Lonchura striata: one gene and its partners. The protein of the gene in region 2 interacts with the protein of the main gene of each other region in a pairwise test. Links are inferred from orthologs where the notes say so. Each region holds a gene or a part of one and is shown on either strand. Other genes may lie near its edges.

Region 1 (8,017 bases), on a different chromosome or scaffold from region 2:
CAGCCCAGGAAGCAGAGCCTGAGGAATTGTGTGTTAGCAGCATTTGGAGAATCTTCCTTCCACGGACTCACTCAATACGTCTGAAACTGGGTGAGCTTTTGCCAGTCCCAACACACAGGACTCCCACCAAGGGAGAGAGAATTGTCCCATCCTGCATTCCTTGTCTTGGAATAAACTCCAAAATGAGAATTTGCTCCCTTCTCCTACAGCAGCCCAATTCTTTAAGAGCCTTTGGTGAAAAGCCTTCTGGAAATGCAGGTAAATTGCCAAGCCCATCACCTCGTGACCAGCAGCTCTCCCAGCAGCAAGGAAAACGCATTCTCCTGCTCCAGGCAGGGATGAGAACACCCAGGAATGGGCCAAGAGCCCAAGTTTTGCTACAATTAATCAGCTTGAGCTACCTGGGATTTAAGATGCTGCAGCAAACAAAGCAAAAATACCAACTAATTACTAGAGCAAAGAGAGAAAAAAAGGAAGAGCTCCCCTTGGCAGGAGCTGAACCAGAGTTCCACACACAGCCCAGCTGCCAGGATCCCACAGACACAAGAGGAATCCCACAGAGGATCTGCAGCCAGCTCCAGCAGCTGCCATGAAATGGATGGAAGTGTGCTGTGTCCCAGCAGGAAGATAACTTCCCTTGGGATTGCTGCTCACTCGTAGATCCAGTGTGCAGCCGTGTCCTCCCAGCACGGCAGCTCCTCGGGGCGGAACCAGAGCGAGATCTCCTGCTGGGCACTCTCCACCGAGTCACTGCCATGGATCACGTTCCTGTGGGCAAGGAGAGAGGGAGAAAGGTGGGAGAGGGATGCTGCAACCTGCAAAATTCCTCCTTGACCAATTTTAGTAAAGCAATGGAGCCAGTCCTGTCCCACAATATCCCCTCCTATCCCACACCATTCATCCTTCCAGCAGTGCCAGTTCCCAGCACTTGCCCCTCCTATGCTGAGGAACCTTCTGTTTGCTACAGGAGGAGCTGCAAGTGGCTGTAGCTCTGGGATGTACATTTTTTATGTCAGTGATTCCATCTGTGCCTTCAGATTTTCCCCCTTCCATCAAAGCAGGTTTTGTATCAGGCACCAGGAAACAGATCTAAGCCAGGATGGTTCAGTAAGAGCTGTGTCTACCACAAGCCAGGCTGGGGCCACCCAAGGTCACCACCCGTGCATATTCACCTGCTCCCACGAAAGGACTGAGTGGGAGCTCCCATTCCTATTCACAGCCTGACAGTCCCAATTACCAGAGGAAAACAGGCAAAGCCCTCCTGCTTTCAACAGAGGACTCAGGAGGAAGGAAAGACACAACCCAGGCTCTTCTTCCTATTAAAGCCAACCCTGGAAAGCAGAGCTCAGCTCTGGTCTGAGCACAAAAGGGAGAACTTCTGCTCTGGGAATGCAGACTCATGTGGCTCAGGCAGGCCTGGACAGGATGCCCTGAAACACTGAAGGAAGAAGAAGTCAAAGCTCTCACTTGCTGACTTCAACACAGAAGTCTCCTCGGATGGTGCCAGGCTTGGATTCAGCTGGATTGGTCTCCCCGATCATGGTGCGAACTGTCTTCACCACATCCAGGCCCTGCCAGACCTACAGGAGAGCAAAACCAGGATCAACTTCCACAGCTGCCCCAGCAGGTCACATCTGCCCTCTGAATTCCCCACCAGATCCACGTGGCTGACAGCAAAGGGGCTCTCCGAATTATTCTTACAAAGTTGATTTTGGAAAATAATCCAAATGGTCTGTGGATTTCTCCCTATCCCTGGAAGTGCTCAAGGCCAGGCTGGATGGGGCTTAGAGCAACCTTGGTCTAGTGGAAGGTGCCCCTGCCATGGCAGGGGTGGAACGAGACCTTTAAGGTCCCTTCCAACCCAAACTGTTCTATGATTTAATTTACAACAGAAAACATCTCTGCAGTTCAGTACAGCTTCAAGAGACCCTCTGAGGGGGGATATCACATTACTTCCACTGTGCTAACAGGCACTGCTGCTCACACCTCGCACTTTGTCCCTGTTCCTTGGCCCAGGGCCCCGGCCAGCACTCACCATGGCCACGATGGGCCCGGAGCTCATGTACTTCACCAGGCGGCCGTAGAAGGGACGGTCCCGCAGGGAGATGTAGTGTTCCTTCAGCAGCTCCTCCGAGGCCTGCACAGAGCACAGAGCTTAGTCTGCTCCCACACGGGGCATCTGGGCAAGGGCTGCACCTCAGGGATGCAGGAAATGGAGAGAATGAAGCTCTTGCACAGATGCTCAGTTCCGGGAGTGAAACAGCAGGAGCCTGACACAGAGAGGAGTTTCCAGCTGCCAGCTTACAGTGACAGCCCTGGAGTACAGCACAGCAAGGGCAGACATGCTCCCCACAGCTGGAATCGCCCCTCCCAGTGCCAGCTCTCCCCTGAGCTGCGGGGATTTGCCGCTGGAATGACAGCAGCAGGTTGCAGGGGCCGGATGACAGGCAGAACCCCCAGCAGTTAGCAGCGCAGCCGAGGCTCGGGGGGCTGCAGGGGCTCCCCGACTGCAGGGCCCCCCAGCCTGGGCGGGCCCAGCCGCTCACCTGCAGCAGCTTCATCCCCACCAGCTGCAGCCCCTTCCTCTCGAAGCGCCGGATGATCTCCCCGACCAGGCGCCGCTGGACCCCGTCCGGCTTGATGGCCACGAAGGTTCGTTCATGGACCCCGCCGAAGGCTGCAGGGACAGGGCAGAGCTCTGAGCGGGGAAGGGGACGCCCCCGGGCCTGCAGGCGAGCGGCACGGGGGTGGCGGGGCTCAGGGCGGGCCCAGGCTCCCGCAGGGAGCGCAGGGCGGTCCGGCCGCGGAGGGCACGGGGGCCCGGCCCGGCCCGGCCCTTCAGCCGCGGGGTCTCTCCGGGGAAGGGAGGCCCTCAGGCACAAGGGGGATCCCTCAGAGCCGGCCCGGGGGTCCCGTCCCGTCCCGTACCACCGTGGAAGAGGCCGGCGAAGAGCCCCAGCACCAGGCAGATCATGGCGGCTCTGAAAGGGGCCGTGCTGCCCCGCGCTGTCACCGCCCCCGCGGAACATCGCGCCGCGACACGGGACAGCGGGACGGCGTTCCCATGGCCGCGGGCGGCCGCGCTCCGCCGGGGCGGGGTGTGCGGCCTCCCTGCCGCCTCGGAGCCCCCCTGCGCCGCCGGCCCGGCCACAGCCTCCCGGCTGCTTATCAGGCTTCTCCCTGCGCTGTCCCTGCACGCTGGCCGTGGCTGGAGCAGTCCGGTCACGGGGCAGCTGCGGTACCGAGCCCAGGAAGGGGAGCCCTGCGCTGCCCCGGGCAGAGCTGCAGCCCCGCCGGGCTGGGGAGCTCCTCCGTGCGGGGCACACGCTGCTGCCTTCGTTCTGGGCTGTAAGCCCGGCTCTTAACGCCACCTCAGCCTCAGGGGCTTGGGAAGGGCATGGACTGCGCTCCAGGGCTCCATCGCTCTCAGGAATTCACCTCTTAGTTCAGCTCCCTCCAAAAGCAGCCTCTGGAAACACCAGCCCATGAAATACCTGCGCCCAGCTGCCCTGTGGAGGGCTGGTGCTGGGTCTGTTTCCATCCCGCTTCTCATGTTCAGAGACGCTGTTCTGCTCCTTCTCCTCGGTTCAGCTCTTGGCTGGGACACGCAGGGGTCCGTCTCCAAACAGCAGGGATCCAGCTGCTTTATCCAACATCGTTTTGAGTAAATTATTCCTGCGTTTGTACTCATAAACAATTAGTGGCTGCAGCCTGGAGGCCCAGAGCGTGGCTTTGCCCGAGGAAAGCTGAGCCCGTCCGCTCCACAGAGTCGCGCTGCGCTGGTTGTTTCGGTGGCGGTGGAACATCCTCTGTGCATGACCTCTGCCCGCTGCGGAGCCGCGGGCACTGCTCGGGAGGCGAGGGCGGTGCCAGGGGATGTTCCCAGAGGCTGCTCCCGGAGCCCTGGTGCCGGCAGAGGGAGCGCAGGCAGCGCGGAGCAGCTCCTAGCCCCCCGCAGCCCGGGGCCGTCCCGGCCCGCCGGGGCTGCCCTGGAACAAGGCTGCGATTTCCAGGTGCACAAGCAGCGTTGTCAGCCCTCCCCTCGTTTTCTTAGGGACTGCCGGGCTATTTTGTTGGAACATCTCAAACAAATCCCATCTGGATTATCAAGTGCAGGGAAACAGCTCTCACAGGTCTGGAAAGGTTGCAGAGGACTCTGAGGAAGGTGCCTAAGAGATGCTGTCAGCTCTCATTTAGCTGCTCACAGAGCCACTAATGAACCACATTCTCCATGTGCTGCCGGTGACAGCTGTGTGTGTCCAACCTGTGTGTGTCCTGGTGTGGGAGCATCGTAATTGAGACAATACAAAGCAACACTCCATTTTCAGAAGGCTTCAAAACCCGTTTTTATTTTAGTATGCATGATTTTTATACATCCTCACAAGACTCAAAAGTTTACACTTTACTCATTGGTCAGGAAAGACAAACAAAGTGCTCATTGGAATAGTAAGTTGCAGGTTTCTCTTATTTATCCTTCTTTCTTTGGTGGTTTCTGTGTCAATGACCTTGGTAGGAAATTCTTGCAGGGGTAAACATGGATCCTCTAATCAAACTTCTCTCTGGCTTACCAAAGTCACTGTAAAACCTCTTCCACACAGGAGTGGCAGTGGGGCTGAAGGAGTGTGGTGGTGAAAACTCAGCTTCCTAACTCCAGCCAGATGGCTGATCTCAGTCTTCCTTCACAGAAGGCTAGTTCAAAAATAGTGATGTTTCTGTCAATTTACTAAGATTTATTCTAGGACCCTTTTCAAGGTTCCTGCAGAGGTGTCAGTGATGAAGTCAGCAGCTCAGTCCCCAGCCCAGCCAGCACTCATGTGTGCTGCAGGCAGCCAGACTTCCACACAGGCAACATCCCTCATTTCACACTTGTTTTATTTCTGTTGTTTCTCAATGCTGATGAAACACCTCATTTTCTCATACCAGGGCTGTTCTGTCATTCTCCACAGGTCTTCTCAAAGATCCTGGTGCAGGCACTTGGGTGAAGGTTTTCATTTCCTTGGACTGTAAATGTTCTTTGGAGCCTCAGGCAGTTCCCTGCAGCAGAATTTGGAGGAGAAACATGTCAAACACTCTCTGCTTGGGTGAGCCCTTCTCATCTTCTCTGATAATGCTGTGCTGTGGGGAGAAGTCTTTGACTTCCCTCTCTAGGATTCCCAGAAATGTGGATTACTGTTTTCCAGGTGGCTTAGGAAATGGAGCTGGGCCTGATTCCCAGGCAGATTGTTCCTGAGCCAGTCTTTTAGGCACAGTTTTAGGCAGGTGTGTAGCTAGGGTGAGCACAGGAAGCTGCAGTAAGCAAGAAAGAGACTACAGATCCTTCCTGCAGAGCTTTCACTTGGGTGCTCAGCATTCCCATCCCAGATGTGTGCATGGAATGGTGCCACAGGCAGCAGCTGCACATCTGGAAGGGCTGAACAAATTTGCTGCCTTGTTTGGAAAGCCCAGTGATCACTTTTTGAACCCTTCACAGGGAGCCTGAATGGCCAGGTACCTTCTGGCACCAAACACCTTCTAATTTCAGTGGGAAGGTTCAGTGTGGAGGACCCCAGAGTGGCAGGGGAGGCTGGGAGGGGCTGTTCCCCTGCTCGCCCCCACTGCAGGAATTTCAGGCGGAGGCAGAGCTCTATTTTTGCTCCTGCTGGATAGAACATTGCAGATCCTGTAGTTATGTAAGAGACCCCAGAGCATGTAGGTGCAGATAAGGTGGCCATCCAACACTGTGCAGTGCAGACAAAGGCTTTTTGTCTCCTTTCATCACACTCAGCAACTTCTGCAGTTGGCACTGCCTTCCTTCTCAGGCTCTTTTTGCACCTTTTTGCTTGTTTGGGGAGGATTTTCACATTTCAGTTCAGCTGTGGTTTTTCACCAGCATAGCACTGGCACAGCCTGGAGTGTTGGTGCTTCTCACAGAGTGGGCTCTGCACAGGTGCAGACCTGTCTACTTTCATCCTGGACTACTGATCCTGCTGGAAATATTTCACTTCTCAGGATAAAGAGGGGTTGGTAGAGCCAGAATATTTCCTGAAGCACCTTTTTCTGGACACAGGGGGTACAGATGTCAGAGCCAGAGCTACACAAAGTGCTCCACAGCAAGGGAACATGGAACAGATGAGGACCCATTGCAAAGTGCCATTGCTCCACCCTGAAGCAAAGCTCTGATACAGAGAGGGGTGCTCTGAAAACTGGGAGTAGCTGAGTACAACAGAAGGTCTCCAGGGATGTATCTCTAACCCCAGGACAGGTGATGCTTCCTCAGAGGGAGCAGCTCAAACCTTGCCTTTCCTTGCATTTGGCTTTTCCATTCTCATCGAGTCTATGAAAGATTTCCTGGAAAGAAACACTCAGGGTCCACAGCCCAGGGAAACACTTGCACTTTGAAGCAGAGGTTTATGTTAGTTCTCACTTCAGTGCAGCGCTACAGCATTTTATTTATACCTGTTTGGACAGCCTGGGCTTCTTCTCTGAGAAATTCCAGTCCATCCAGTCCCATCCAAGGCCAGAGAAGGACAGGCTGGAATAGGCAGTGCCAGTGAGGAGCTGGGTGCTGGTGCTCTGGAGGTGAGCCAGGAGGGCAGCAGGACACTGGTTGCTGTTCAGTGCCCTGAGGGATGTCCACAGCCTGGAGCCCTTCTTGTGGGCTCTGATTCTGTCACCTGTGTGCTGCTCCCAATCCTTCCTGTCCTGTAGGTGCACAGCAGAGGAGTCTCCTCTGTGCTGATGCTGGGATCACATCCAAAACTCCTGCACACATGCAGCTGCACTAGCTTGGTCTCTCCTGTTCTGTCTGGAGTATTTCATAGAATCCCAGAGTGGTTTGAGTTGGAAGAGATCTCGAAGCCCATCTCATTCTACCCTCTGCCATGGACAGGGGCACCTCCCACTGTCCCAGGCTGCTCCAAACCCCGTCCAACCCGGCCTTGGGCACTGCCAGGGATCCAGGGGCAGCCACAGCTGCTCTGGGCACCCTGTGCCAGGGCCTGCCCACCCTGCCAGGGAACAATTCCTTCCCAATATCCCATCCAGCCCTGCCCTCTGGCAGTGGGAGCCATTCCCTGTGTCCTGTCCCTCCATCCCTTGTCCCCAGTCCCTCTCCAGCTCTCCTGGAGCCCCTTTAGGCCCTGGCAGGGCTCTGAGCTCTCCCTGGAGCTTCTCCTCTCCAGGTGAGCACTCCCAGCTCTCCCAGCCTGGCTCCAGAGTAGAGGGGCTCCAGCCCTTGGGGCATCAGAGATGATTTCTCAGGGACAGCTCCTGTCTCACCACCTCCTCGGCTCCTCACCTAAACCTGTGAGGATAAATGTTTTTGTATAAAAACCCAGCTGTGGCCTATGGAGTTCTGCCAGCAGAGGCAGCCAGTGGGTCTCACCATGGTTTGGTGGTCTCCTCTCACAGGGGAGCTGCTGCCACACCTTTATTTCCAGCTGCAGGTCAGATCAGAGGTGGCACATGTGGGACTAAGCCTGACCTTTCCCTCTTTGTAGACAGCAGCCCTGGAATGTGAGTGTGTGGGGCCCCTGCATGAGCCCTGTGCCCAGGGCAGGGCAGGCAGCAGCCCCTGAGCCTGGCAATGCAGAGCCCCAGCTCCCAAGCAGCTTCCTTTGCCTCACAAGGAGATACTGGAGGTAAAACAGAGTCCTTGAAGCTTTCTGTCACTTGGGTCGGGCTGATGGCAAAGTCCCACGTGTGTGAGTTCTGTAAAGGAATGCTTTGCCAGGGAGGTGGTGGCTGCCTTGGATCAGGTTGTATCCACTTGCTTACACCTTCACCCTGGCTGGCAGTGGGATTGAGGAGGAACTGCAAATTTTGAGGCAGTATTTGGAGCCTCTTGTTCAGGGGGGCCTGAGCACAGCCTCCCCTCTCCAAATCCACCACCAGCTGCTCAGCTGTGAAAGGGGCTGTTGGTTCTCCCTCGGTTCCCTGCCTTGCAGAGCCTGTGTCCCCCAGCAGTGCTCCTTGTGATGCCACAGCAGTCACAAAGTAGGTCAAACACCGTCTAAACCCTGGCTTGATATCCCTTGAA
Region 2 (6,893 bases):
TCATGTTCTAGCAGTACCTGAAATGACCGTAAAGAAATAAACAGCTCAATTCTTTAAGTTCTAATGTTAGCTATAAAAATATACTGAGGGAGTTTCTTTTGCCTTTTTTTGTTGTTGTTTTGTTTTGTTTTCCTTTCAGCCTACAAGCTACTGGCCCACTTATCTCAACTGTACAAACCACTTGCTGATCCCAGATGCACTTGAACAGATGTGCAACTCGCCTGGTATTTGAGATTAACCTATTCTCAAGGCTGGTTCTAGAAACATTGCATCTATTGTTTATACTTATTATAATCAACAGCTCATTTTTGCAGTTTAAGAGAAAAAGCCAGTATTAGTCATTCTATGGGGACAGCGCATTTTTTTGTGCTGTTACACTGCCTGAGACTTCAATCCAATGGTCAACCCAGCAGGGAAATCTTACTTCACAAGAATTAAGTCATAACCGCACATCTAATATTTTAACAGCAGTGCCAAGAGAGAAAACACAGTTTAAGGTATCTGTAGACAACAGAGACATCTGAAGTAGTATCCTCTGTTAATTTTCTAAACTTGTATGACTGCTTTCAGTAAAAATTCATGTGCTTGATAGGTTGTACAACCATTTCAGTTTATGACAACTGTTTATTTGAAAACCTGGCAGATCCGCCAGTATTCAAATCTGAAACAAACTTGTTAAAGTCAAATGTATTACAAGATTCACAGCTAAAGTAAATCTCTTTATTAATTCCAAAGGACCCAGCTAATGGCTGATTGCTTTACAGGACAAACACAATCCTCAGGTTATATTAAGTTTATGAATCTCTCTTTTAAAATATCCTAACAAAACAAAAGCCCCAAAACTGCAAAGACTTTTACAAAAACTGCATTGCTGCTGTTCACAAATATATGGAGAACAGAGAAGTGGAAAGCACCCTTTTCAGACTGAGATTGCTGGGAAAGCAGTGGAAAACACTAAAAAGCAAACACAGTCTTTTTACTTTTGGGAGAAATGCCTAGATCAAGCTTGCAGAGAGAATAGCTCACTGCACACAACACTGCAGCTGCCAAAAGACAAGAGGACAAGAAAGCAGCTTCAGTGCATTGGCAGCTGAGAAAACCTCAATGAAACTCAGGTCTGGGACACTTCTAGCCCAAACACTGATGTACAAAAAAAAAAAAAAAAAACCAACATTGCAAAACAAAACTGAATGTAGATTAGACACAAGGACAAAAAAAACCTCAAAGAAATATTAGCATTTTCTCTATTCACAGCAACTAGATGAAACAAAAGTCTGACAGTCTAGTTGAATAGCTATCACTACATTTGAAATTTCGGAGATTTTACTTAATCTTTTGTATCCTCTTCTATTAACCAATCAGTGTCCTTCAGCTCACACTTAAAGAATGATGTCAAGTTCTGTATCTAGATATAAGTGACGCTTTCAGACATGTTATCTTTTTTTATGAAGTCTGCAATACCAAAGTCACACAAAAAAATGTGGAATAGCACAAAGTTGACACAGTTAGAGCCATTTCAAGGTGAAAACTGGGAAATCCTATGGAAAACAAAAGAAGTTCTGAATCTAGCAACACCTACATTCTTTGTAAGCAGGAGTCTCTGCATTTTTACATTTTGATAGCAGCTTTGCTATGATTTGTTGCTTTCTAATTTAAGTAAATGAATTTTTAGTCAATACTTGCACAGCAAACCTACTAAAAGAGTTGAAAAAATAGAAGACTTGCACGAAACAGTGTGGATGAATCAGCAGGTGTCACTAGTTTGAGACAAAGGCAGCTGGAGCATAGACTTTCACAGGAAGGCACAAAAGCCCTAATAAATTGGTTATCTGACATAACCATGCCATGCTAAGTACTATATCTGTAACTAGCACATCAGAGTATGGGAGACTGAAGATTTTGCAAACACAGTACAAGGCTACAACTTCCCAAAGTTCAAGGCCTACTCACTGTCTTTAAAGACAGTGTTAGATCAAAATAAACACTGGAAATACAGAGATACAAGTAACTGTGTATGTTTTCTACAGTCATGTTAGCCAGACAGTGAGACAACTACCACCAAAGCCAGTCAGCTGAACAGGACAACTCACAGCTAGAAAATGAGAGAAGAGAAGGCTTTGGGGTGGCCTAATTGTGGCCTTCCAACACCTGAAGGGAACTTACAGGAAGGATGAGGCAAGCCTGTTTGCAAGAACATGTGCTGACAGGACAAGGGGCAATAGCTTCAAAGAGAAAGAGAGTAGGTTTAGATTAGCTATTACGAAAAAATTCTTTACTGTGGGGGTGGTGAGGCACTGGAACAGGCTGACCAGAGAAGCTGTGGATGGCCCATCCCTGGAAGTATTCCAACCCAGGCTGAATGGTGCTTTGAGCAACCTAGTCTATCTGAAAGTGTCCCTGCCTACGACAGGGGAACTGGAAGATTTTTGATGTTTCCTTCCAACCCCCACGTTTCTACGACTCAACGAGTTGACGAATGAGCTACATCCAGCTTCCGAACCGGCCCTCTGCAGTGTAACAGAGAAGCGGGAGAGGAGGGTGCGAGGCGGCACATTTCTCCACTGCCCCCGCCCTCCTCAGAAGGCAGCAGTCCCTTCCCGGGCGAGCAGAAGCTGCTTTGTCACTGGGCAGGGCCCGGGCCCCGCGCAGCCGAGCCGGGAGCCGCGGGCCGGCGCTGCCAGCCGGGCGGCGCTCCGCCCGGCCCGGCCCCAGCGCGCCCCGCCGGCTCCGCAGCCCGCCGCGCCGCCCCTCACCTGCCGGATGCTGCTGGCCTCGGAAACGGCGAACTCCTCCTTCTCCTTGGGAGTCTTCACCGTGACTTTGATGATCCGCGGCTCGGAGTCACCGGCCGAGTCGCGGGTGGGCGAGCCAGGGGGGCCCCCCGCGGGCCCGTCCGCTGTGTCCGACATCGCCGTGTCCCGGTGGGGCGGGGCGGGGCGGGGCAGCGCGCTCGGCTCCCGGCTCCGGCGGCTGCAACCGAGCGCTCGCGACGCGCCCGCGACACCGGAAACGGCTGGGCCCGGCCGCCGCGCGCCGTGATGACGCACGCACCGGGGAAGGTACTGGAAGGGGCGGCGCGCGACTCCCAGCGGAGCGCTCCCGCCGCCGCCTGGGCTCGGGATGTGCCGGCCGCCGCCTGGGCTCGGGATGTGCCGGCCGCCGCCTGGGCTCGGGATGTGCCGGCCGCCGCCGCCTGGGCTCGGGATGTGCCGGCCGCCGCCTCGGCTCCGGGATGTGCCGGCCGCCGCCGCCTCGGCTCCGGGATGTGCCGGCCGCCGCCTGGGCTCCGGGATGTGCCGGCCGCCGCCTCGGCTCCGGGCTGTGCCGGCCGCCGCCTGGGCTCGGGATGTGCCGGCCGCCGCCTGGGCTCGGGGATGTGCCGGCCGCCGCCTCGGCTCCGGGATGTGCCGGCCGCCGCCGCCTGGGCTCCGGGATGTGCCGGCCGCCGCCTCGGCTCCGGGCTGTGCCGGCCGCCGCCTGGGCTCGGGATGTGCCGGCCGCCGCCTGGGCTCGGGGATGTGCCGGCCGCCGCCTGGGCTCCGGGATGTGCCGGCCGCCGCCTGGGCTCCGGGCTGTGCCGGCCGCCGCCTGGGCTCGGGATGTGCCGGCCGCCGCCGCCTGGGCTCCGGGCTGTGCCGGCCGCCGCCTCGGCTCCGGGCTGTGCCGGCCTCCACGGACAGCACTCTGGGAGGACACTGCAGCGCCACGTCCACTTCTGGGCTCCTCGGTACAAGAGAGACAAGGAGCTACTGGAGAGGGTCCAGTGGGACTCACAAGGACAATTTGGGGCTTGAAACATCTCTCGTATGAGAAGGGACTGCAGGAGGTGGGCCTGTTTAGTCTGGAGAAGCCTGAGAGGGGATTCATCAATATATGTGAATATCTCAAAGGTGGATACAAAGAGTGTGAAAAATGCATATTACATGATTGGCTCTTCGCAAATATTAAAATGAATACTATAGGTGTTATGTTGGAAAGTTATGCTGTATTAATCTCTTTTAAGTAATGTGGTAAATATAGTTTTAGGCAATAGCATATTAAAATAGAAATGTGATGTAAGATTCTTTTTACAAGTAGCTCAAGGAATGGATAATTAAGAAATTCTTTGCATAGGGATAACAGCAACAAGACACTAAAATTCCAAGAGAATAATTACTGCCTCCTTATTGGGAAGACGCAGACTCCAAGGGACCAACATGACTAATTTACAAGACGAAGGTGGGAGTAAGCAGAAGAAATCCTTCTAAGCAGAAGAAATCCTTTGTTTGAATTTTTAAATCATGTATGAGATTATGAATACGCAACAGGCTATTGCTTTTAAGGGGTAATCCTTATTTAGCAAGGTGTGCTTTGTGGCAGAGTGCAAGGCACCCAGACATCCATAATTCTTTGCTTTTTATTGTCCAAATACTTACTGCTCTAATTTTTGCTACTATTTTAATAGCTATTTTATTCCTGTTAAACTTATCAACTAAACAAGTGACTGGCGTTTTTCACAAAGAGATAGTGCCAGCCTCTTTTCAGGGGTGCCCAGTAACATGACGAGGAGCAATGGGCATAAACTCAAAGACAGGAAATTCCACTTCAGCATGGGGAAGAACTTTACAGTTAGCATGACAGAGCACTGGAACAGGCTGCCCAGGAAGGTCATGGATTCTCTCTCTCTTGAGGCATTCAAAACCTGTCTGGACATGTTCCTGTGTAACCTGCTCTAGCTGACCTTCCCTTGGCAGAAGGCTTAGCCTGGATGGTGATCTCCAGAGGTCCATGCAGAAGGTCACCAGTTTCCCAACTAGGGTCTGGGAGTGCAGGTGCTGGCCGTGCAGCTGTGGTTTGCTGGAGCTCCAATCCATGAGACATGAGGTGTCACAGAGGCCTGTAGTGAGATGCAGGGGTTTGGTGTCGGAAGATGCAAGAAGAGTAACTTGGCATAGTTTGTGAATGTACATCAATGAAATAATTCAGTACCTTTTGCCTTTAAGTTACTTGGCCCCAGCTAAAGAAGAATACATCCTAGACATTTACTACTTTAAAGGTATTGCTAAGTGTTGCCGTGCGAGACCGGCTCTGGGCAGGTGCCTGCGGGAGCATGGCGGGAGGGAGAGACGGCGCCGCTTTTCCCCTTTTGCTCTGCGAGGCTCAGTTCTAGTGTGGGAACAGACGGAAGGATGACACGGGGCTCGGGGGCAGACACGTGTTTATTGTGGGAGTGTGTCCCCGAGACCACGGACACTGACCCAGGGGTCGGTTATACCCCAGGGTGGGGGAACCTGAGCCACAGCCAATAGGGACAGGGCAGGAGACAGGGTGAGCCCTGGAGACCCCGGAGCCCTGGAGACCCCAGGGAAGTAGGAGCAGTGATGGGAAAGGAGGGGAGGGGGGGGGGACAGGGACCGGACCGCGTGGTGAGGGGGAGTGATAAGGGAATGCAGGGTCGGGACAAAGGACCGCGGGGGAGCGGGGAGGGGTGGGCTGGGTCACAGGACAAAGGGGGAACATGTGGGAAGGGGAGAGGGGGAATGGGAGGGGAAGAAGAGAAAATTACAAACCCCGCAGCTCAGTCTTTTGAATTTACATAAAGGAAAGGGAGTTCTGAGGTAAAAACAAATTAGCAACGTTACAAATTACTGAGAAAATGTAAGTAGAGAGACATCAGAAAGTGATACACCAATCAATGAATGGAGCAAAAATTTTTTCCACATTACAATTTAAGACAAAGTACAAAATTATCATAAACACATTCTGTATCGAGGATGAAAGCAGGATTCATGATGCGATGCTTGTGGTTTTTCGCATACTAGCAGAGCAGAAACAGGCACCAAACAGCAACGTGGTTTCTCCAATTTGATTATTTGATTGCGAAGTTGGCATACCATTGTGGGCAGTAATTAGAGAGGATGATCTTTCCTTCTATAAGATATATCTCAATCCAAGGAGTTATTTCCAAATTATCACAAGCAATGGGGAAAACTTGCATTGAAATAATAAGGGAACTTTGGGCAAGGTACATTTAGATGGGATAGAGGGGAGAACCTGGGCGTCACTGTTTCAGGGGAAAGAGAAACAGTGGAGCTCTGGTCCGGGTTTCCAGCTCCACTCCCTTTGAACCCCCCCCCTTTCCCACAGCAAAGGGGCAAGCTCTCTTACAAAGGGAGGTCCTCTAACAGAGGGACCCCTCTGGTGATCCCTCCCATCAGAGGGGGGCCAGAAGAAGAACTGAGGGATTAATCCAACCTCACCTCCCCCCAATAGGGGCTGGCCCACTGCAGGATGGTGCAGGGCCATTCGGGGAGGGGTTGGGCCAGCGGGAAAACTTGGGGTGGAAGAGAAGGGTCAAGGTGGGAAAATGGGATCCCTGTAGCATGGCCAGCGCCATCTTGGGAGGGGGTGCTGGGTGCACTGCATCTCACCCGGGGAGGCACGGCCAGTGCCGCCCCTAAGGGAGGATAACAGTGTCCGGCAGGGCGCTTGGGGCGGCTCGGCTGCTGCCATCCCCAAGGGAGAAGGTTTGGGGAAGTCTGTGGGGAAAAGGGAAGGGGAAGCTTCACAGAAGCTGAAGGGGAATACTACAGGAGAGGGGCCCGACGTGGCTGGAAGCTGATGAAATGCATGGATGTGTAGGGCCTCCCTTAGGATGTTAACAATTCTCCCATAGCTGACGTGTCGTCGCTTACAATTCTGTACCATTGGTGTCCTTTCGATCCCCTCACCCCCAAAGCCCAGAATAGGGAGGAGAGGGTAGAAAAGGTAGCTTTCCGAGAAAGAGAAGGAGCTTTCCAGTATGAATTACTCCAAAAAGACTGAGTGAGGTGGCGTCCTCCTTGGAAAAGAAAAAGCCTCCCGACCGCCAGGGACATGCAAGGCTACAGCCCCCGTCTGGGCACAGAGAGGCG
Region 3 (7,892 bases), on a different chromosome or scaffold from region 2:
TCATTGTTCTTTTTAGAATTTAGGCTTAGCCCAAACCAGGTTCTGTCAGTTCACTACAGCTTGAAACTTCCAGGTTTTTGCTGCAGATGGAAACAAAATACCTCATGCTGAGACCTCATCTATACAGGCACAAGGAATTTTAGGGAAGCTCTTAGCACTGCTGATTTTAAGGGCATTGAGCACCACTTACACTTGCATTTGTGTGTTGGAGAACCATATCTTTCTTTACTGTGATAAATATTTTCTTGTTTCAAGGACATGCTAGGGCTTCAATTATTTAATTAGACTGCAGTGATTATACCTAGCTGGTGCCTTAGCAAACTTAACAAAATTCTGTATTTTCTCTCCAGTAACCTGTAGGGATCTGAAGAGTTTCCTAAATCACCCTCAGTTCTGTTAAAAGAGACTATTTTCTGTGGTTAAATTTACGCCTGAAATAGAACCATTGTGAATGCTTCTGAAGAGAAATTTCTGTATTTAAAACCAACAAACATACCTGGCTGCTGCCTCTTTCTTCCCATCTTCTAGTGTTCTCCAATGAATATGATCTCCAAAACCTGCCAGAGAGAGGAGTTTATAAATGCTGCATAATTTAACATGTCAGCTAATAGAGGAAAACAGCCCAACACTCGAGTATTTTCAACTCATTTTATATTCTTTTTTTAAAGACAACTATAGCCCCACTTCTGGAAAGACTTCTGCAAATACTTAAAGCCCACACAGTTGTATGAGGAATCCCACTGAAATTAATTAGCAAAAACATACCATGCTCATGAATATTTCTATATATGTATGTCAATGACACTAAAATCCCCCAAACAGATATTAAAATTGAAGTGCCTTCTGATTATTCTCCGTTCTTTTTCATTCTGTGAACATTTATTATCTGATGAGTGACAAATTAAACATCTCAGCATTTGGCTTCCTAAATCCCACTGAAGGTGAACTAAACTGAAAATTAAAAATTTCAAGGCGAACATATGATCACTAATTGCTCTAAAGCTATTATGCTAAGTATTCCTGCTGATGATAATAGCATGGAAGAGCAAGAAAGAACACCATTATACAGATTTCTGAGTGTTATAGTGACTGAACGATGCAGGAAACGTTTTATCTGACATCCAGATAACAAGTCTTGTTATGTCAATTAACTTAAGAGTGAGTCAGGGTATGTTTAACAGCTGTAAAGCAGTGACTGCCAGGGTTGGGCTTTTTTAGTAGCCAACAGAGCACATAGCCAAATGCCACCTGGGAAGCTTAGATGAAGGAGATCCAGGAACTGTACAAAGAGGAACTCTCTTGGAACACCTCCTCAGCGGTCTTGGTTCCAGTAATTAACAATTACTGTGCTGGATGGCCAAACATGAGCCTTGGTTTGCCCCTTCCCATCCGTAAGTTTCAGATTAGTCAGGAACCCACCATGCCCGAGGTGCCTAGGGGAGATTTTGGGAGCTGCAGAGAGATCAGGAGCCACAGACTGCCCAGTGCAGACATAGGGGAAAGTGGACATTTTCTCCAGTACACAACTAGGGCAAAGAATCTGGAGAAAGCCCAAAACAGTGCCAGCAAATCTTTGGGCCGCCTCTGTTCAGCATCCAGGAGGTGTGGACACAGGCACAGTGTTTGATCTCTGCTGATACAAGCAACTGTGAACCTAAGTGATGCAACACATCAAAGAGATGTGGAGATGCCTCATCCCTGTCCCCTCACACCCACACAGCAAGTGCTGAGGCAGCCCCCGACACAGGACTACATTTGTACGAGCTCAACATCCCAGAGCAAAAACCCAGATGGAATAGCACAAGTCACGTTTACCCAGAATATTGACATGTCAGCTATTTCAGTCGAAGGCCAAAATGTTAAAATAGGAAAAACCTTCTATTGTTCTAGCTGGGAAACACTTTTCAAAAGCTTTTCTGTATTTAAAACAAACCCCACTACGTGGTGAACTACAGTGTGTTTTTAAAAGCATTGCCCAACACATTACAGAGTGCATCTTTTGAATGAAAGTCATTTGGGGAATTAAAGGGTGAATGGCTGGCTGGGATCCACACCACAGCTTTGCTGTCATTGATCAAATTGGTTACAACCAGCCTTGAGGAGGAGATTTACCTCTACGGCAGAGCCACCACTCGGGGAGAAGCCCAGGCCCCGGATGAACCGGGCTATTAGACACGGTAATTAGGCAAGGAGCCCGGGCAAGCCAGGAGCGAGGTGAGAAGCGGGCACGAAGGGCAAGGGGAGCCGCGGGCGGAGGGAAGGGCCATTCACGCCTGCCAGGAGCCCGGCGGGGCTCGGGGCAGGCAGGGGCACGGCGGGGCTGCTCCCCAGAGCCCTCAGAAAGGCTTCGGCCAGAACCCGACCGCAACGGCGGAGACCCCGCGAAGCCCCCCGCGCCTCCACAGCCCGAAGCTGCGCCCTTTGCTCCCGCCCGGCGGCCCCGCGGGCTGAGGGGAACGTGCCGTGCCCCCGCCCGGTGGCCGCGAGTGGGGACAGGAATTGGGGGAAGCCGAAGAAAGCGTTTGTCTGACCCTTTCCGAGCCCTCCCGCGGCGGAGGCGGCGCAGGCCGCCAGCACCAGGCACAGGCAGAGGACGGAGGCTGCCGCGGGCTGAGCCTTCATGGTGTCTGCGCGGAAAGCGGCGGCACGGCCCCGAACCTCCGGACAGGACAGGACCCGCTTAGCTAGACTTTTTTTTTTTTTTTTTTTTTTCTCCTCTTTTTTTTTTTTTTTTTTTTTTTTTTCCTCTTTCCCCGTTTTTAAAGCCCGGGAAGTGATGTGTGGCGGATGTGGGCGGTGCGCCGCTCCGACGGCCCGGCCCCCGGTGCTGGGGGAGGCAGCCGCGGGAGCGGTGTGGGGGGCTCGGCATGGGCTCAGCTCCTTACGGGGTAGGAGTCATCGCACCGGGGCCCCGAGTCCTGGTTACTCCCCCTGGGCAAACCCCAGCGTTATCCCGACGGGAGCAGGCAGCGGTGGGAGGGGAGTGTTTCCGGGTTTATTTTCTCTTTCACAAATAAACGCTTTTGTCGCGCTGCTCTCTGGAGTTGCCTGGCTGTCGGGAAAGCAAATCCGACCGCAAGCGCAGCGTGTGAGGGAGGCTTCCCTGAGAGGGACAGAGCGAGTGGTGACGCGTTTGGAAGCGCCGCGTCCCAGTTTGGGTCACAGGGCACCGCTCCCTGCCCCGAGGCGCGGGTGACTGCCGCTCCCTGGAGACTACAACTCCCAGGAGCCCTTGCTCGCCACACGGCCGCCTCTATGTAAATGAGGTGGGCGGGCCCGCCCATCTGCGGGCGGGCTGGCGCCGTCACGTGGCGCGGCGCTTCCTTTCTCTGTGCGCCTCTCTTTCCTTCCTCGGCCGCCATCTTGTTCTCGCCGCGTGTTGGCCGCGGGCTCCGCCGCGCTCAGGTGAGGGGGCCGCTCTTCCCGCGTCCCGCTGTCTCCGTGTCCCGGGACCGCCGCGTCCCGCTGCCGCCGCGTCCCCGCCGTCCTGAGGCGGGCGGCGCGCCGCGGCAGCTCGGTCCCGTCCCCTTGGGCAGTACTGGGCCGTTCCTCGGGGAGAGGCCGAGCGAGCGATCCCCTTGTGCGGGGGCTGCCCTGGCTCGCGGGGCCGCGGCTCTGCCGTGAGACCGCGGTTACACGGGCTCCTGAGGGATGAGCCGTGTTCCCGTGCTGTGGGGCTGCCCAGCGAGCCACCCCGAGCCCCTTCCCCCGCCGCCCCGCAGGGTCTCCGTGCGCCGATCCCTGCCCCGCTCCCGCTCTGCCCCCGCTCGTTCCCGGCACAAAGCACATGCGGGGATTTCTGGGGATCACTGGTGGCTCGCTGGGGCAGAGCAGCGAAACGCATTCATTTTGGTGGAAGGCTTGAGGCCTTTTTTCACACGTTATGGATTTTCGGGGCTTTTAGCCTTTAAAGGTCCCATCTGACTCGTGGGAGAAGCACTGCACAAAATTCGCGGTCACTGTATTGGATGAAAAGCTGCCAGAAGTTCATGTAGTAAATATGTCCATACACGAAGTTCACAGAGTTTGGATCTCGCTTATTAGTCATAAGTATAATAGATTAATTCCATGAATACTATCCCAGGTAGTTTAGTGGTGACTGTGTCCCTGGACCCTCGTAAAGATGGTGTTTTCCCAGACCCAGTTCTCTGTGCTGGTTTGGGTCTGGTTGGAGCCAGTAATTCAGTTAAATACTTCCAGCAATAAACTGGCATCTTGGAAATGAGTACCTTGGCCTGATGCAGAATGAAACGTCCTGTAGAGTTGCCTCATCTTGGCATAGACGCTTCAGCTAAATGTGTGTCCTTCCTGCTGCAGGACCACTATGGATAGTTTAGGGGGTATAATTTGAAAGCTCTGTTTTTGTGTGTTTGTTTGACACACTGTTTTGGGTGATGTTCTAGAAGTTTGAAAAACCTGCTGCAATCGTAAGAGTGCTCTTAACATGGACTGTGACTTTTTGTTATTACTGTTAAGTTGAACTTGTTCTTGCTCTTTAGACGTAGCACTATGAACCAAGAAAAACTGGCCAAGCTTCAAGCGCAGGTCCGAATAGGAGGAAAGGTAAGAAAACCACCAGAGATGCTTTTGAAAGCATGGACTGAAACTCATAGAAAGAGAAGAAAAAAAGTATTCTCAGGTTTGACTAATACAGGTTTTGTGTGATCTGGCCTGTAGTGCAGCTACCTGAAACACAAGTTTCTTTCAGTTCACAACGGCTGGATGAGCAGTTTCCAGTGTGTAAGCATTGTTCTAATTCAATGACTTGTTGTGACCTGTGAAAGCTCCAGCTAATCTCACCTGTTGGATGTCCCAGTTATGCCTTTATGGTCTTCCTGTTGGGGATTTTCTTCTTTGTGCCTGCTTCAGGCACTGGCTGTGCACTGAGCTGTTTCTTTTCTCTGAGCTAATGGGTGGTTAATATGACTGATAAAAGGGCATGTTGTTTGTTCAGTGTGGGTGCTCATCCCCTTGTAGGAATGATTGTACAGAAGTTTTCAAAGCAGGAATTCCAAAATTGCTGTCTGTGGAACACTCTGAAAGCGTTAATGACTTGGTTGCCAAAGTGGAACTATTTTAATCACTGTATTTGTGCTTTGTTTTGGAAAAAGTATCTTGGGGAAACTTTGTTCTGTATTGCTCAATAATAAGTAGTATTTTTGTAGGCTGGGTGAGTGGAAGGGAAAATGTACTGCTGTTTACTATTTCTTTGGTCTTTATGCTTAAGAAAAAACTTAAAATCGGGAATGGTGGGCAAAGCTGTAGGTAAAGGGAAATAAGTTGAGAATAGTTTTTGTCTACAGAAATGTCTCATAACTTGAAAGATATTGCTCAGACTGTGCCCTGACTTTTGCAATTAGTCTTTGTGAGATTTTGAGGAGAGCTGACTTTTGTCTCGATTCTTCCCAGGGAACAGCTCGCAGAAAGAAGAAGGTGGTACACAGAACAGCTACAGCTGATGACAAAAAACTTCAGAGTTCCCTCAAAAAACTGGCTGTAAATAACATTGCTGGCATTGAAGAGGTATAGTGAAAAAATAAGTGTTTCCTGTTTGAAGTTAAATTCAATCTGCTGTTTTGGTGGTGGTGTGGTGTGGTTTGCCTTTCTTTTTACAACAGTTTTATCTTCCAAGCAAAAGCATAGAGATCTGGTTATTGAGAGGTAATGTTGTTTGATGATTGTTGCCTCATTGACATTAATGTGTATGTGCCTGGAGAAGGAAAGGTGCAGGTTCTGCTGGCCAGGCAATGTGTGGTGGAGGTAGTAAGCTGTGTGCTGTATGTGTGTGTGTGTGTCTTGCATTTATTGCAGAACAAAGCTTCTCTTCATTCTTGACTTTTATGAATTTGATTACTTGCTCTAAAGCAAAGAGCAGTAAATGTACATGGACTGTGCAGGCACATCTAGAGCAAGTGTGGTGCAGAGTATGAAGGAAGGTTTAGAAACACCTTGACTATGAACTTGAGTCTGTATTATCAAAATTAGGACCTTTTACTGCGAAAAATTGCTGGAATTGTTTGTAGTAGTTACAGGAAATGTTTTTTTACAGCAGTGCAGAGTCTCCACAGAGGCAGCTTCTGTGTTAATGTAAGTGGGAATGTGAAGGTTTCAGGTGTTCCTTGAATGCCTCTCATTTACATGTATTAATAAAACATGTTTTCCATAACAGTATAGGGAGTGACCCTCATATATGGGAAGAGAAGTAGTTTTCTCCATCATGAGCTCAGTGTGGCTGCAGTGCTTGTACTCCTTCGTTAAAGAAGTGCAGTATTTGATCTCTGATTAATTAATTGAAGCAGGATTGCAACGTGCATGGAGAAGTGCATTCCTCTCTTCCAAAGGCAAATGCAGATTTGGTGTGGTTTGCCTGTAAGTTTTCAGACCTCTGTTACAGAAACAGTTCAGTGTGTCTGTTTTCTTGAACTTAATACAAATATGCAGAGCTGTATGAACTAAAGTAAGATATGGTTCTTCTTAGTGTATGTTCAGGGTTTTTTTTGTGCACAGAGCACAGGATCTTTATTCAGACAGTTATTAAGGAATTTAAATATCTCAGTGTAGGAAGACGATGCAAAATGTTTCTACCTTGATAGCAAGAGACATAATTGTGGAAGGTTTTATTCAAGTGAACGCAAGTTGACCTTGGTAAGCTTCATGCAGATACAAAAGTAATGTTGAGTCAAGCATGAATAACACATTTGTGTCATTTTGAAAGAGGCTTTTAAGTAACAGGATAACTGTGCTTGAAGCTTTTACCATTTCCCCATGGGCAAAGGACAGGATATTGCTTAGTTTTGCAGGAAAGCGGCACACCTGGATTTCCTGTTCAAAACGTATTTGGAACTCTGCTGCTGTGTAAGGATTGAGGACTTAGATGTTTTTGTATTTTAGATGTCGTTTTTAGTTCTGAATCCCTCTTTTCTCCCTGTAACTTAAAAACATTGCTTAATATTTTTTTCATGTAAGTTTAATACCACTATTGTGTTGGATGGGTAGAAGTCTCTTCCTATGGTCAGACAATTATTTTTTGCATAATAGTTTATCCATGCCCAGAAGAAAAAGCTTTTCAGCTTTCTAAAGCAGCCACTACACTGACTGTAAGGTAGAACTCTTGGTGATTCAGAAGACCAGGGAAGAAGAGGAGAGCAGGATCACTGTGTGGTGTCCTTAGTCTTAAGAGCCCTCATGGAATTATTGGGAAGGTATTGGAAGTCTATTCTAGTGCAGTGGGTACATAATCCCCCAGTGCTGCATGTGCATCCCTGCCTTGAGCCAGTGTGAGTCCTGTGCCTCTTGTCAGCTGGGAAGAAGCAGGAATGTTTTCCTGGTAGGTGACACAGGTACCTGTGAAAGGCAGTGGCTTAACCTGATGTGGCAAGGTGCTGCTGTTGGAGCTTTGAATTTAGATGGTGTTAATTCCAGGTGCTTTTATCGTATTATCCTTTAGGAGGAGTTCTAGTTCTGTAATTTTTGATTTTTCAAATCTAGATTTTAGTTGCAATGCTTGTGTAACAAGATGCTGCAACACTTAGGTAAGGTAAATGTTATTAATATATTTAAACAGGTGAACATGATAAAAGATGATGGAACAGTTATTCACTTCAACAACCCCAAGGTTCAAGCTTCCCTCTCTGCCAACACTTTTGCAATTACTGGTCATGCAGAAGCTAAACCGATCACAGAAATGCTTCCAGGCATCTTAAGCCAGCTTGGTGCTGACAGCTTAACAAGTCTCAGGAAGTTAGCTGAACAATTCCCAAGACAAGGTAGGTCTTTTTGGAATATTTCATAGCTGACTTAAAGGACATGTGAACTACTGAAAGTTTTAACCCAAATTTAACAAAAGCATGTGACTTAAAAAGTCAGAAGTGTGTGTGTGCTTTTATTTGCCA
Region 4 (7,063 bases), on a different chromosome or scaffold from region 2:
ACATCCTGAAAGAGCTGTGTACACCCATGTTTACCCACTGCTGGAAGCAGAAAGTGAGCATGAATATGTTCATTTCAGCTCACTTGTAGATTTTTCCACTCAGTTTTTGTCCTTAGCATAATACAACTTAATAATTAAAGCATTATCAGTTCAGAGAGCTGCTTATTTTCCCCCCTTCAGTATGCATGAGCAGGCTAACAGGCATAATAGCAAACAATTTCCCCAAACATTTCTGACTTCATGCCTGAGTACATTTGAGCATTGATTTCACAAATGATTAGTTCAACAGCTGATTAGACAGTCCCACCCTCTGGATCTGAGTTGGCCCTGAGTCAAAGCCAATATATTGCTTCATTTTCTGTCACAGAAAAGGCATTAACACTGTACATAAATGTATATATCCATTTTAAAAATAAAAGCAAAAGCAAACAAACAACCAAACAGCACCTAATTTTTCTATTTCTGTAGCAAATAAGTGAAATTAAGACTTTCTTTTCCAGCAGAGACTGGTTATCAACAGCGTTTGTTTGATCAGCACATGAGAAACTGTCCTTTCCAAGGGATGGGGGAAGGGAGAGTAAGTCTATAATCATCTGCCAAGCACCTCCCACTCACAAAGACCAGCAACTCACCCTCCTTTGCTGCACACAATTTGGATTGTTACAGCCTTTGCAAGAGCTGTCAGCATCCCACTAAAATCAAAATGTGTGCAGCCAGGCAAAGTTTAGTTTAGCATTCGACAAGGATGTTGCTCAATTGGATATTTCCTTTGCAGAAATAACATTGGCTCCTCTCTACATATTTTGTGTGCATTTGCCTCTAGGTCAATTTTTACTTCTAATTTACTAGTAGATGGTATTTGAAATCCTTGCCAAACAGATTTGGGAATTATTTCTTTTACAAGCTATGAGTTCGGGTCGTAAATCTTGTCATTAAATATACTGTGCTATCCAAGGTAAGAGGATTCCTCGCCAGTCTTTCAGACTTTAATTCCAAATTTGTTTAAAAACAAAACATTTTAGCCCATCTTTAGGAAATATCATAACCATTCTCTCCTGTGCCTCGCAAAGGACAATATACTAAAACAGTTCTTTTTTTTTCAGATCGATAACTGTGAAGCCAGTCTAGATGGAGAGCATATTTTCTCCTCTATTAGAACCTAACAAACAGGAAAATCATCTTTTAGCCAACAAATGAAGATGAAGAAGCTTCTCTTTACAAAATGAGGCAATCATTATCAAAATTTAACACATACAAAGGCAATAGAGACTGAAAAAAGTTCCCTAAAAAACAGACACAGAAAATATCTCCTTTCTGGGATGTTTCCATGGTAGCAGTAATTTTCTCTCTCATTCTCCTGGCAGTTGTTTCTGATGTGACTCTAATGTTTCCAGTGAAATTTAGCTATGAAAACTCATAGGTTATTCCTATAGACATCTCCCTGCCCTGACAGCCTTAGGTGAAACCTAACAGCAGCTTTTCACAGGGAAAATAAATATATCATGCACTGTTCCTCCCATTTCTTTTTTGCAATAAATAACATACCTGCAGTAAATTTGCCTTGTTTAAAAGCATCTCTAACCCTTTACCCTGTGGAAGGGACTGAAAAAACAAACAAAACAGCAACGAAGGGTAAAAGCCCAAAGCCACGGCAGTTCTAGTGAATAAAAGGAATGTTTGCATGTGGATCTGTCTGGGAAGTGACTCAGAGGCTGTTTGCATCCGAGGGAACCCTCCGCCCATCCACAGAAGTGCCATGTCGGTGACCCGGCACGGCTGAGTGCCACTGCTCCGGCCGGTGCTGAGAGCCCATGGATACAACATATATCTATTTATACATACACACACACATTGTTATATGTATGCAGTATATATAGTGATAGGAGCACATTTTACAATGATGTGTTCTCTTGCAAACCCCAGCCCCGGCATCACCGCTCTTGGTGCGACTTCACTGCTCTCGGTGCTGGATCCCCCTGCGCAGCCCTGGGGCTCCATGCTCCCTACATCCCAATCCACAGCCCTGTATACCCACATCCAAATCTACAGCCCTACATCCCAATCTACAGCCCTACAGCCCTATATCCCTACAGCCCTATAATCCCTACATCCCAATCTACAGCCCTACAGCCCTACATCCCAATCTACATCCCTACATCCCAATCTACAGCCCTACAGCCCTATAATCCCTACATCCCAACCTACATCCCTACAGCCCTATATCCCTATATCCCAATCTACATCCCTACAGCCCTATATCCCTATATCCCAATCTACATCCCTACATCCCTGTATCCCTACATCCCAATCTACATCCCTACAACCCTATATCCCTGTATCTCCGTCTACATCCCTACAGCCCTATATCCCTATATCCCAATCTACATCCCTACAGTCCTACATCCCTACAACCCTATATCCCTGTATCTCAGTCTACATCCCTACAGCCCTGTATCCCTACATCCCAATCTACATCCCTACAACCCAACATCCCTACAACCCTATATCCCTGTATCTCAGTCTACATCCCTACAGCCCTATATCCCTATATCCCAATATACATCCCTACAGCCCTGTATCCCTACATCCCAATCTACATCCCTACAGCCCTGTGTCCCTACATCCCAATCTACATCCCTACAACCCTATATCCCTGTATCTCAGTCTACATCCCTACAGCCCTATATCCCTATATCCCAATCTACATCCCTACAACCCTACATCCCTGTATCTCAGTCTACATCCCTACAGCCCTATATCCCTATATCCCAATCTACAGCCCTACAGTCCTATATCCCTATATCCCAATCTACATCCCTACAGCCCTGTATCTCTACATCCCGATCTACATCCCTACAGCCCTGTATCCCTAATCCCGATCTACATCCCTGCAGCCGCCGGCGCTCCAGCCCTACCTGCGCTGCTGCCGCCGCTCCGCCGCCTTCAGCACCCGGACAGCGCCGCTTATACCGCCCCGGCCGCGCGTCACGGCCCCGCCCGGCCCCGCCCGGCCCGGCCCCGCCCGGGCGGAGCGACCCCGGGCCCGCACGGAGCGGGCACACACCCGGCACGTAAAACCGGCAGCGGGAAAAGCGGGGGGAAGGAGAAAAAAGGAGAAAGTAAAAAAAAAAAAAAAAAAATACAGAGGGGGAAAAAAGCCACGAGGAAAAACAAGGAGAGAAAAGCAAGGCAAGGAAGAAAGAAGGGGGAAAGGGGAAAGAGGTTTAAAAAGAAAAAAGAAAGAAAAAGGAAAGGAAAAGGCAGATGTGATGCTGCTTCTTAGGCTGGGAGGAAGGACTCGACAAGCCCGAGCGACACCTCGGGGGCGGGCGCAGGCCGCAGCAGCAGCGGGGCACGGCCGGGGCCGGAGCGGGAGCGCGGCGGGGACGCGCGGGGCCGGAGCGGGGTGCGAGCCCGGCCGTGAGGATGACTCTGCACCCAGGGTCAGCGTGCCCGTGCCTGCCTGTGCCCGTGCCTTTCAGCAGCGGTGGCCAGCTGGGCTTTTTAATTTTTCTCTTTAGGTCATTGACTGAGCTATTGTGGCACATTTCTGGCTTTGTCACAGGGCAGGCAGGGTTCATGGCATCTGTGGCCTTGTCATCAGGTGTAGGAGGCCCTGGAGCTCTGGACCAACTAGAGATCAGTGCTCCTGAGGGGAGAAGGACACCCCTCCGTTGTTTGTCTGAGGAAGATGGAAAAACTGAAGCACACTGGGGAAATACAAGGCAGAAGGTTCCTCCTGCTCCTGCAGCCCCATGCCAGCCTGTGTGCCCTGGCTGTGGATGGGACAGGGGCCAGGCTGGTGCTCCTCTGGATGGGGAGGGAGCCAGAGAGGGGCTGCCCATCCCTGGGGCACTGCCAGGCACTGCTGAAAAGGCCCTCATGGTTTTATCTCCCTTCTCAGCACTCAAAAAGGGCAGCACTTGCACGCCTGGATCAGTGAGGTGAGTAAATACCACTATGCCATAAATCACAAAACACAAGATGTAACACATGGCTTCAGCTGATGCTCAGAGTTTTAGCTTGTCCCTTCTGCTTCCTTCCTATTACAGAAAGGTTGTTTTGCTTTGGCTTTTAAATAAGTATTCCTTTTCCCCCAAAATAAATCTTTCCTGACAATTCTGACCTTTTACCGCACAAAAAGCAAAAAAACCTAGGATGAATGTACCTTCCAAGCCAAGAAACATAACAAAATTAAATTATTGTAAGAACAGTAAGCTAGAAATAATTGTAGCCATGAACAGACAACAAGAAAATCCTAGCTGCATTTGCTGATACAGTTTCAGTTTTTGTGCTGAAAATCTTCAGCAGCAGCTTTATTCTGGCCCCAAATTCCATCCAATACATGCACTTCCATTGCCAGGCCCGGGAAGTAAAGAGCCCAAAAAATATTGCATTAGGGCCCATGATAGCAGCTCTGAGGAAGGGAAAGAGAAAGGCATTGCTGCAGTAGCAGAGGGCAAGGTCCAAGTGCCCTCTGAGCAGCTGGGAACTGTATTGCTCAACACCACATCCCCTTCAGCAGGGTCCTGAATGCCCACAAAACACAGCACTGCAGACACTGCTGTCACTGAGACACCTCAGTCCAGGGACAGAATACTCAGTGTAATCAAAACCAACAAACAAAATAATAACAGAAAACACCCAGAAGAAAATTACTCAATTCAGACTTTCAGGAATTTTCCTGTGCTTCTGCAAGAGTTTCCAACAGGCTCTTGTGTATTCTGTCACCAAATGACTAATACTTATGGAGCAAATTCTTTCCCATGAAATCATGCTGTTGAACCCCATCCATCTATCCCTGATCTTCTGCATTAGAGCACATTTCAGACAATCCAAATTATTCGGCACATGAGCAAGATTGCATCCTCCTTAACCACTCACCTCAGGTTTACAGCATATAAAGTCAGCCAGACACTTGGCTTTGGTCTCTGCTGTGGCTATTCTGGGTTCAGTGGATAAAATTTTCCAAAGGCTCTCTACAATCCATCTGTCAATTTTACTCCATATCAAAAAGTTGCCTGGACTTTGTGCTTACGATTGATTGCATCCACCCAGCCCTATAAGGAGGGCCTTACTGAATTTTTTTTTTTTTTTTTGGTCATATTGAATGTACAGCATTCTTTTCCTTAGAATGAGTCATGCAACTGAAAATTGGATCTGTTCTGTCATCAGAAGTTCCATGGCATTTTATACAAGAGTAAGATCACATCACAGCATCTCTCAGCTTTAGGAAATTACATTAGAATTAGCTCAATAGCAACTGCTTAAGCAAAGGAGATGGGTAATCTTGTTTTTCTGAGTGAATTTTGACCATGTGCATCCTTTTGTGCATTCTGGGAACAGCCCAGCTCTACCCACAGTGATTTTTCTGAACAGCTTGCTTGTCACATGCTCTACCTTACCCATCATGAGAAGATAAAGGTTAATCAATCAACCCTGCACCTTGCAGCAAAAGCCTTTTATTTAATTTCATTTCATGCTAGAAAGAGGGCACGGGGTTGGGAGGGGAACTTCACTGCAGCAAACAGAGGCTGGAGGGTCCCTGCACTCTCTGTTTTGTCATACCCCAGCTCGAATATCATCATCCCTACAGTCAGTGGGAAAAGAAAAGCCAGAAAACTTGTCTTGAGGAGGAAGCATGCTGTGGCAAAGGGCCTTGGGGTCACTGTGCTTGTGCCCAGGACACAGCAGCAGCAGGGGGTGAGGGTGGCCAGAACCACAGCAGTTCATGGACCATGGGCTGCACCACACCTGCCCAGCTCCCAGCAGAGGCTGGAATGATGATCTGGCTGGGATCACCAGCCCAGGGGGGCAGCACATTTGTCTGGCTGCTCTGGCCCTTTTCTAAACACCAGAATGGTTTGCAGCTCTGCAGCTCTGGCTCTCTCCTCCTCTAATTGGTGCCACCAAGATCAGCACTGCTTAAAAATAAAGCAGGGTTGTGTCAATATTGATTATTTCCTTCCCTTCTTCTGTTTCTAGTAGCAACTAAAAATAATTTACAATTCATTACAGACATGACATCTCCTGCAGAATAAATGCCATTGTCACATTTAAAATTCAGTCCATATCTGACTTGAATATCTTCATTTACTCTGAATATAATGAGAAAGAGGAGGTTTTCTTTCCTCATAAAAGGCTCATCTGCCATCATAGATACAGATTCTTTTAAATTATTTTAATTTTAAAATACTTGAGTTCTGCCTGTATCCAACATCAGACTTGTCATTTTCTGCTCATTTTGCATGCTTGAAAGATCAGTCATATTTGTATGCAAATATTTTTGGCCTGCCTAAATTTAGTGCACAATAAATGGCTCAAATTTCATTTCCAAAGCCATAAGGGGAGGGATAAGTACAGCATTGTAAGGAAAAATAAGGGGTTTGCAGTTTTTAACCACAGTCCTTTAAAAGCAGGGATGTCAAGGCAAGCACTGGCTGTAGATCACTGGGCTTTATTCAACACTGCAATGAGATTAAGCAGGTTTAACACCAGCCTGCCCTACACACCTCCCTGAGGGGACATTTCAAGAACAGGAAAAGCTAAGGAAAAGCCAAACCCAAAATCTGGACTTTTAACCAACATTTACAAGTTCAGGATTTCAGGCTGCCTGCTTATAAAAAAAAAAATTAAACTGAAGAGGAGCCTTAGGCAAGGCTTGTCTGCCACCCCTGCACACGGGGCTGTGCCCCAGTGCTGGCCAAGGGCATCATCACTCCACTCCCTCTGCAGCCTGCCCCAGGGCTGAGGCTCAGCTCTGCCTCCTGCTTAGCATCCTTCCCCAGGCTCTGGCACCCCTCCAGTGCCTCTGGAGTTCTCCAGGGGCTGCAGGAGGAGCCCAGCCCGCTGCCTCGCTGCTGCTACCTGCCCAGTGACCTACACTTACCATGGGATGCCTGAAACTTGGGGTAATCAGGCTCCACCCCATAGGAGAAACCCCCATGGGATCTATCAGCTCAGCCAGTGCCAGAGGGGCAGAGAAGCCCGGGCTGGAAGGAGCTGCATAAGCAGCAGATGAATCAACAGGGAAAGAGTTTACTGCTATACTTGTTCCAGTATA

The links.
Region 1: the proteins of UBQLN1 (region 2) and NME3 interact in binary tests that used the Homo sapiens proteins (3 or more experiments, as listed by UniProt). The two-hybrid records come from large-scale screens. The link is inferred for Lonchura striata from reciprocal best matches to the Homo sapiens genes UBQLN1 and NME3.
Region 3: the proteins of UBQLN1 (region 2) and TXNDC12 interact in binary tests that used the Homo sapiens proteins (3 or more experiments, as listed by UniProt). The two-hybrid records come from large-scale screens. The link is inferred for Lonchura striata from reciprocal best matches to the Homo sapiens genes UBQLN1 and TXNDC12.
Region 4: the proteins of UBQLN1 (region 2) and SCG2 interact in binary tests that used the Homo sapiens proteins (3 or more experiments, as listed by UniProt). The two-hybrid records come from large-scale screens. The link is inferred for Lonchura striata from reciprocal best matches to the Homo sapiens genes UBQLN1 and SCG2.

The regions. Positions count from the first base shown.
Region 1 is NC_134618.1:3,027,416-3,035,432, forward strand, and holds the start of NME3 (nucleoside diphosphate kinase 3), read right to left. Parts: upstream 3,014-8,017; 5' UTR 2,975-3,013; coding exon 2,929-2,974; intron 2,678-2,928; coding exon 2,547-2,677; intron 2,138-2,546; coding exon 2,036-2,137; intron 1,581-2,035; coding exon 1,468-1,580; intron 769-1,467; coding exon 651-768; 3' UTR 1-650. UniProt on the Homo sapiens protein: Catalyzes the phosphorylation of ribonucleosides and deoxyribonucleoside diphosphates, other than ATP, into the corresponding triphosphates with ATP as the major phosphate donor.
Region 2 is NC_134642.1:26,244,891-26,251,783, forward strand, and holds the start of UBQLN1 (ubiquilin-1), read right to left. Parts: upstream 3,017-6,893; 5' UTR 2,910-3,016; coding exon 2,754-2,909; intron 1-2,753. UniProt on the Homo sapiens protein: Plays an important role in the regulation of different protein degradation mechanisms and pathways including ubiquitin-proteasome system (UPS), autophagy and endoplasmic reticulum-associated protein degradation (ERAD) pathway.
Region 3 is NC_134611.1:9,911,205-9,919,096, reverse strand, and holds the start of TXNDC12 (thioredoxin domain-containing protein 12), read right to left. Parts: upstream 3,014-7,892; 5' UTR 2,623-3,013; coding exon 2,532-2,622; intron 2,215-2,531; exon of another isoform or gene 2,096-2,214; intron 558-2,095; coding exon 497-557; intron 1-496. Other genes in the region: BTF3L4 (transcription factor BTF3 homolog 4), read left to right, coding at 4,510-4,563, 5,410-5,523, 7,565-7,766. UniProt on the Homo sapiens protein: Protein-disulfide reductase of the endoplasmic reticulum that promotes disulfide bond formation in client proteins through its thiol-disulfide oxidase activity.
Region 4 is NC_134612.1:9,379,974-9,387,036, forward strand, and holds the start of SCG2 (secretogranin-2), read right to left. Parts: upstream 3,014-7,063; 5' UTR 2,916-3,013; intron 1-2,915. UniProt on the Homo sapiens protein: Neuroendocrine protein of the granin family that regulates the biogenesis of secretory granules.